Oryctolagus cuniculus: one gene and its partner. The protein of the gene in region 1 purifies or fractionates together with the protein of each later gene. This does not show direct contact. Links are inferred from orthologs where the notes say so. Each region holds a gene or a part of one and is shown on either strand. Other genes may lie near its edges.

Region 1 (4,331 bases):
GGGTCTAAGCCAGTGCCCAGCATACAATTGGTGCTCAATACTTGCACTGAACGAGTGGACATCTGTGAGACTCTTGGCACAGTGTACGTCATGAGCAGCACTCATTTCCTCAGGCACTGTAAGGGTATACCCTTGTCACCTTACACTGCCCATGGGAAGTTCTTTCTGATATCCAACCCAGGCTCTTGGACCACAGAGAGCCCTGCTGCCCCACTCCCTTGATGCCCCAACTCCTCTTCCTTTACGGCCACTGCCTGATTCTGTCTACACCTGCCCAAGCTCCCTATGCCAATGCTCTGTCCTTGGACCAAATAACCGCCCTTCCATCACTCCCCAGAGTGTTTGCTTTGCCGTGTCCCTGGTCCTTCCCCGCTGCTTTGATGTCAGTACCCACTCCTCCAGGAGGAGCAAACCGAGGTTCGGTGGGACTTGAAATCAGAGAAAAGGGGCTCCGGCTCAAGGCAAGTCGTTTCCTAGTGATTTCTCCGATCTTTAAAATGAGGATTGTTTGGTTGTCCTGGCAATTTTTCGGAACTGTCAGCAGCATTTTAAAAATCATATCATCGATTTAAATCCCGACACTTAGCAGTTGTCCAAGGGCCTTACCTCATCCAGCTCTTGGCCCTCTCGTGAATGTGCCCATCTTACAGATGAGGACAGACAAGGTGAAAGGTGAAGCGACCTGCCACCAACAAATGGCAGAACTCAAACCCAGGCCTTCTAGTCCTAAATTTCAGGAACTCTCTATCCTCTGCGGGGGGGAAAAATCCCAACCCAGCACAAAGCCTATGAAATGCTACACAACTATGTGATTACTACCTTGGCGCAAGGATGAATAAGCCCAAAGAAACATCATGCCTGACGCTAAGTGGGCTGGCCGGCGAAGGCGTCTGTCCTTTCCCACGGCGCCCCCTGACTCACCTGTTGGACAGGTAGGGGGAAGGGGAGAGTAATGAGTCTTACCTGCTCAAAGCTAGGGTGGGGCAAGACACACCCCATCCCTTCCATTGGTCCTTTCCTTAATCTTACTGACAGCCCCTCGTCCAATCAGGAGGAAGTAACTTTCTATCCGCCAATAGGTGCAGAGTTAATATGGTGCCTCAAGTGGGGGCCCATCCCTAGAGCCAACTGGCAGTCCCTTGGGCCAATGGCGATCGGATAAACAGAGGCGGCCGTGGAAGAGGACTGGGCGCGAGGCTCCGCCCCTCTCTGGGACAGTCAGGCGCCGCAACCAGTGAGCTCGCAGCAGCGGGTGGGCGTCTCCCTAGGGGGTGGAGCTTCGAGGGGGCGAGAGGCGTGGCTTGGCTGTCAGGTCCCTTCGCCTTTTGTTCGGTTACTGAGTTGCTGCCTTGGCCAGAGTCCGGAGCAGCCGCCGCCCGAGCGCGCCGAGCTCAGTTTGCTGCCCACGCCGGCTTCCACCCCGGCCCGACCCCGACCCAGCCCGGCCAGGCTCCACACGCAGGTGCGGACGATCGGGGCCAGGTATCGTTGGGGAGAGGAAAGGGGCGGCGAGCGGTCGAGAGACCAGTCCCAGCCGTTCCGGGCAGGTGAGGGCCGGTGCCAGGGAGCGCCACCCTGCACCGGCGGCAGGGGGCGCGCTGCGGTCCTGGGCACGGCGACTCAGGGGACGCGCGGTGGGGGCCAAGCGCACCTCGGGCCTCGATGAGCCCGAGACCCGAGAAGGGCTGGGAGGGGCCGGGACAGGTGCCTCTAGGGTCGCGCCTCCCCCGGAGTCCGCGGAGCTAGCTCGATGCCGCGTCCCTGACTCGCCCTGGGCTGGCTGGGGAGACTTTGACCTGCTCCGCCCGCGTCCTAGGGCTCACTCTGCTATTGGGAATTTACGGTTTAGTAAACTTGCTGCCACTGGTCTCTTTGGGGCCACCCTCACCCCACCCACGCGTCATCCTCGCCTTCCCTCACTCCCTCCCTATTCCCCCAGGCCTGGGTGGGGCCCTATTGTCTGCGCCCGGCTTGCCCAACTGTGGGGGCCAAGCAGGCATTTTCCCAGAGACGCGAGCCCCACCTGCCCAGCAGGTGAGCGCTCGGAGCCGCAGGCCCTGCCTGGCAGCTCGCGGAGCTCCGTCGGCGCAGTACCTGCGGCGCCCCCCTCCGCTCCAGTTCGCGCTGGGTTGGGGCTCTTCCAGCGGAAGTGGGATGGGGTGGCCGTGGGGCTGGGGCAGAGCCCTGGTCAGTGCTCAGTGGGTGTCCGGCGCCTGTGGCTCGGACTGGGGCTTGCGGGTAGGGGTCTGTGCCTAGGTAAGGGCTTCGGGGTCACCTGGCCCGGCTCTCTGTCGCTGTGGCTCCCACAGTGTCGATGTGGGAACGGAGCTACCTTTCTCTACCTTCCTGTTGAAAAATCACCCGAACAAACTTTCCTGGAGGAAGTGTTCGCGGTTGCTTTCTCTGGGGGCTTTCCTGCTTCCTTGGGGCAGGGCGCCCTCCCCGCGCCGGCCCAGTGCCTGCGCCCTGACCTGCCTCCCCCGCCCCCACCCCCATCCTGTTTGCTGGGCCCCTGGGGCCCGAGGTGGGGGCCGGGGTGGGGGGTGGGCTGAGAAGGGAAGCAGCTTCTTCCTTCTCTTCCTGCCTCCGGGGACCACCACACCCCCTCGGATGAGGCCTGCGCTGGTGGCTCTCTCCCAAGCTCTGCCCCCTCCCCAGGAATGGGGGTGGGGCAGGACTGGGCCAAACTGCGGAAGGTGGGGGAGTGGTGATTCTTGTCTGTTTCCCCTCCTCTACCGAGTCCTGTGCGACTTCCCTGGCGGGAGCTGAGGCCCGGACTGGCTCTCCCTTTGATTTCCCAGTTTTTGGAGCTTCTGCAGACCCTCGCCTCCCCACCCCCTTTCCCGGGAGAGTTTGGTGGGGGAGGGGGAGGCGGGAGCAAGGCTTTCTGGGGTGCTTTGCTTCAATGCTAGGCTCCCTCACACATGCCTTGGGGCCCCACCCGACCTGCCCCCCCCAATTTCCCGAGCGCTCCTCCTGCCCGGCATGGGATCTCTACCAGGCTGTCTTCCCTGGTTTTTAAGAATTCAAGTGTGGTCTTTTTTGGGGGATTTGGAGCCCAGCCTCCTGAGGGGGAGGGGAGGCCAGACCCACCTCCCTGGTGTGTCCAGGGCAGAATCTGGCTGCTCCTTGGGGTGAGGGAGCCTGAGGAGGGGACCGAAGCCCTGTTCTGCTGTGTGGTGTGTGCCGGCGCACCTCTAGGAAGCCATGGAGTTGGGGCCCAAATTGCCTGTTTTCCCTCCTCTCTGCGCTAAGGTGGAGGAGGGGAAGGCATTGTAATTACGTTGGCTAAATGATTAGTTTAGCTAATCTGGTTTGTGGCTGTGATGAAAAGATAATAGCAAGGAAGTATTGCTAGGAGGTGCCTGGTGAAAACTGGCTCCTGGCTGGGCAGTCTGGGGCGGGGTGGGGGGGAGGTAGGACCCGATTAGTCATTTCTGGCCAGACCAAACCCCATCTTGGGTGACAGGAGCCCCCCCCCCCCCCAGCTCCTCCCCATTCCCTGTGGAACCTCTGTTTGGGCTGCCAGGGCTGAGCTGGGAGAATGCAGCATGTAGGAGCCCAGTAGGTCAGGCGAGGGCTAGCAGCCTGCCACCTTTCCTGGACGCCCACGGGTGGGTCCCGTGGGCAGCAGTTGCCTTGGAGTGTGCTGGGTCTGGTGGCCGGTGGGCTTCTAGAAGGGCCGGGGGAGAGGCACTGATTTCCATCGCAGCTCTGTGTTGCGTGGTCAAAGCCCTTCACCTCTTTGAGCCTCAGTATTCCATTGGCAAAATGGGAAGAATCTTCCCAGCTCCCCAGCAAGGGCTTGATGGGTGCTCACCTAAGATCAAGGGGAGACCTGGGGGGGTCCGCACACAGCCTCCGTGACTGTCCCCACCTCATCTGTCCGGCTCTCCTCCCAAGCAGCTGTTGTTGTCTGCTATCCACAGAGGAGATGGAAACAGGGCGGTTAAAGCACTTGCCCAAGGTCGCACAGTGAGACCCCTACGAAGCCAGCGCCTACACTTGGGTCCTGGGGCTCCAAGCCCAGAGCTCACCCCGCAGCTCTGGAATGATTTTTTTCTGCTGTCCCCTTTGGAGAGCCTCTGCCTGACCGAGAAGAGCATTCAGAAGGCCCAGTGAGGTGTGTGTGGGTGGAGGCAGGTTTGTCCGGTGGGGTGACTCACGTCTTAGCTGCCCGCCCTCTTGACTTGGGTTCTTAGTTCTTGGAGGAGGGGGCAGCTCCCCCAAGGCCAGGGGCGGGACAGGGCAGGGAGAAGAGGGCAAGGGGCAGAGGGGGCTGGAGCTGGGTGGGAAGTAGGAGTTGCCTGCTTTGCAGGTGCTGGGGCTGT
Region 2 (3,808 bases), on another chromosome or scaffold:
TGCAGAGATTTAGGATGGCAATACTGGTCCTGATAACCGACAGACAGTCTTTCACAACCAGGAACTCCTCCATTTCTCCATTTCCATTGCTGCAAGGTGGGGTCAGCAGGGGTAACTCTACACCCTCCGCAATAACAGTAAAATGTTGCAAAATCGCATTGCTAACTACTTAATGGCCATCTCCCCTGGTCTCTCTGTTGCATCACCTGGTTCTCATCCCCATCTGCCAGGAGCATCAGAGAACTCAGGTGTCAGGTGTCAGGTGTCAGAGAACTCAGAATAACAGTGGTGTAAGCGTAAACGCGGCCGTCCGGGTTCACCACGAGGATTCCCCCACAGCGATGCCTCAGTCTGCTCCTGTCTTGTTGCTCTTCGTTGAATGAGTTCTGTTCCCACCCGTGTTCCAGACCTCACTACTCTTCCTGCATTCCAGCCCTCGGATGGGAGAGAAATGAAGAACTGCCCAGCACACTTCCCAGGAGCTGCATGCACCATTTCTGTGTGACTCACGTTGGCCAAGGGGCCGTCCCTAACCAAGTAGCTACAGTAGAGGCTTGGAAATGCGGTCTTTATCTTGGGTGACCTTGTTTCCAGAGGCAGACAAAATTAAGTGCTCTGTAGTCCTGGGAGAAGGCATGAAACCATGGAGGGAAGTTGAAGTGCAGTTGTTGCCAATACTGCAAGTAAGCTAAGACTGTACAGGAAAGTGTGGCTTTTAGTTTCTCCTTGGCTTATAATCAGCCATGAAAACAGGAAGGTAAAAGGAAGATTTTCCTTAGACCAAAACAGAAGTTATGCAACCCAAAATATTTTTTCCTAATTTGCCTGTATGGACAAAGCACAGACCCTTCTTGCAGCCATGGTGACCTTCTGACACAATTCTCGACTGTATTTGCTCTCACAGGTGGTGCCGTCGCTTCTGGCAGTGGACCACGGGGAGAACCTCGCAGCGAGAAACGGAGTAGGCAGTATGAGCACCAAGGAAGCCACCATGAAAGGGAGCAGCTCTGCTTCCTTCACCAAAGGGCAGCATGAGATGTCTGAGGTGGACACCAGGTGGGATGAGCACCGCAGCCTTCTCTCTGCCGGGGCCACGCAGGTGATGGGGCCGGCAGGAGCCGGGCTGGGCACTGAAACCATGAAGACCGTCAGAGCCACGGGGGCTTCCAGGGACGCGGTTGGAGCACGAGCGGCTGCAGCTGGGCTGAACGAGGAATTCCTACGAAGCTATTTCACCGATGTAAGCATTGGTTTTTACGGCTGGGGAGGAAGCAATGCATTCGTATATGAATGCAGTAGGGTAATCACTACCTTGTGTCTAAATTGGATGTTGGAGGTTTTCTGGGTTTTGGGTTTTGTTTTGTTTGTTTGTTTGTTTGTTTGTTTTGCGGGGGATGGGGGTATGCTTACAGGCAGTGGACAGAAAGAGATGTAACCCATTGAATGAGCCCGTATTAGCTACGTTATTCTGTGATAACAAATAGCCCACAGTTTCAGCTCTCACAAAGGCTCATTTCTCTCTTCCATTTGTGTTTTGGCCACTTGGCTCAGCCCTGCCCCACCCTGCTCCAAAGCGCACGCTGAGAGTGCAGGGTTACGTCCGTGCCCGGGAAGCTGCTGTCATCCCAGGAGAAGAGCCATGACAGGGCTGGGCAGTGGCCCTTAAGGCCTCTGCCTTTTACACACTCAGTGTTTCATTGGCCAAAGCAAGTCATATGACCAAGTTAAATGTCAGCGGGTCAGAACGCACGATCCCCCTGAGGAGTATGCTCTTTAGGGATGAGCCCAGTAGGGAAGAGCAGAGAATGTATAACCACACACACAGTCGATTCAGTCCATTTACATGTCACCTCCTGTATCAGGGACTTGCTACATTACTTGATACATTAGTAGTTCCACTACTAATGGGATATTTACACAAAAAATGATGAGAAAAGTTGCAGGAGACATAATCAGATGCAGGCAGAAGCTCATGCCTGGAATTCGGAATTAGAATCAAGGCTAAAGATAAAAGCGTTACCTAGAGACAAACTACATTTCAGAACAGGGATTACTACCAGGAATTATTGAAATACTTATTTTATAATGGAAAATGAGTCAGTTCATCAGAAGGTCTGATATACCTAAATATGTCAGGATAATAACAGAAATTCAAAACCTTGAAGCAACAACTGATAGAACTAAGAAATAGACAAATGCGTAATTGTATTTGGAAAGTTCAGCCTCTTTTGTCAGTAATTGAAAGATTGAGTAGACAGAAAATCAGTAAGGATACAGAAAATATAACAATATTGACTGATTCTAATTGGCATTGGTTGAAAATTCTATGCAACAAAAACAGAGTACACTTTCTTTGTGGCATAGACAATGTACTAGGACATAAAATAAGCTTAAATAAGATGAAAAGAACCACAGTCATGCAATGTTCTTTGACAAAAAGAAATTAAACCACAGATGAATAGCAAAGAAACACATAAAATATATTTTGCAAATATTTGTAAATTATACATTTTTAAATAACCTGTGGATAAAAGAGAAAATAACAGAAGCAATTAGAAAACATTTTTTTTAAAGATTTATTCTATGTATTTGAAAGGAAAAACTATAAAGAGAGAGAAGGAAAGAGAAAAGAAGAGACAGAGATCTTCCATCCTTGATTCACTCCCCATATGGCTTTTGGGCCAGGCCAAAGCTAGAAGCCAGGAGCTTCTTCTGGGTTTCCCACATGGATGCAGGCCCAAGCACTTGGGCCATTCTCTGCTGCTTTCCCAGGTGCATTAGCAAGGAGCTGGATCAAAAGCAGAGCAGCCAGGACTTGGAACAGTATCCAATGTGGGATACTGGCACTGCAGGCAGAGACTTAACCTTCTATACCACAGTGCCAACCCCAATTAGAAAACATTTTAAACCATTGAAGATTAAACTGCGTTTTATTTTCCAAATTTGTGAGTCATTGCTGAAGCAGAGCTTTAAGCAACGTTTATAGCAGAAATGACAGTGCTTATTCTAGAAGATGGGTCTCGCATCAGTGACCTAAGCAAAGTTACACAAAGAAAAACAAATCAGACCCAAAGCAAGCAGATAAAATTTAATAATGAATTTTAGAGCAGAAATCAATGAAATATCAAAAGGGGGGGGATGCAGTTAAACAAAAAGGACTATTTAAAGAGATCAATAAAATTAGTAAGGCACTTAACTAGTTTAATTAGTATATGAAGAAAGTAAACACATTATCAATATCAGAAATAAGGTAAAGAACACTGCTACAGATCCTACCGACATTATAATAATTTTTTAAAGATTTATTTATTTATTTGAAAGGCAGAGTTACAGAGAGGGAGAAAGATCTTTCATCCACTGTTTCACTCTCCAGATGGCCACAACAGCCAGGGACAGGCCAGGGACAGGCCACATGGGTGGCAGGACCATAAGGAGTTAGGCCATCTTTGCTGTTTCCCAAGTGAATTGGCAGGGAACTGGATGGGAAGTGAAGCAGCTGGGACTCAAACCAGCACCCATGTGGGATGCCGGCCGGCATTGTAGTGACCAGCTCAACCCGCTATGCCACAGAGTGGCCCCAGTTGTTTTTTTTTTTTTTTTTTTTTAAGCAGTACTGGCTGCCTTTCTGCAGCTATTTCTGTCCCCTCGCCTAGATTTGCAAGTTGCTGGAGTGCTTTCCCACACTGCTCCTTTCCACCCTGCTGTGTTTCATCCCCTCCTCTCTGCCAGCTGCAAGTTCCCTTGACCTGGATGGTGGGCAGTGTCAAGGCAAACCGCTTCTTGTCCCTTCGTTGTCTCAGTGCTAAGC

The links.
Region 2: the proteins of JUP (region 1) and DSG2 purify together in Homo sapiens (affinity purification with western blotting; 3 studies listed by BioGRID and IntAct, with this or other methods). This does not show direct contact. The link is inferred for Oryctolagus cuniculus from reciprocal best matches to the Homo sapiens genes JUP and DSG2.

Annotation. Positions count from the first base shown.
Region 1 is NC_091448.1:20,926,712-20,931,042, forward strand, and holds the start of JUP (junction plakoglobin), read left to right. Parts: upstream 1-1,304; 5' UTR 1,305-1,462; exon of another isoform or gene 1,463-1,547; intron 1,548-4,331. UniProt on the Homo sapiens protein: Common junctional plaque protein. The membrane-associated plaques are architectural elements in an important strategic position to influence the arrangement and function of both the cytoskeleton and the cells within the tissue.
Region 2 is NC_091441.1:46,117,848-46,121,655, reverse strand, and holds part of DSG2 (desmoglein-2), read left to right. Parts: intron 1-904; coding exon 905-1,240; intron 1,241-3,808.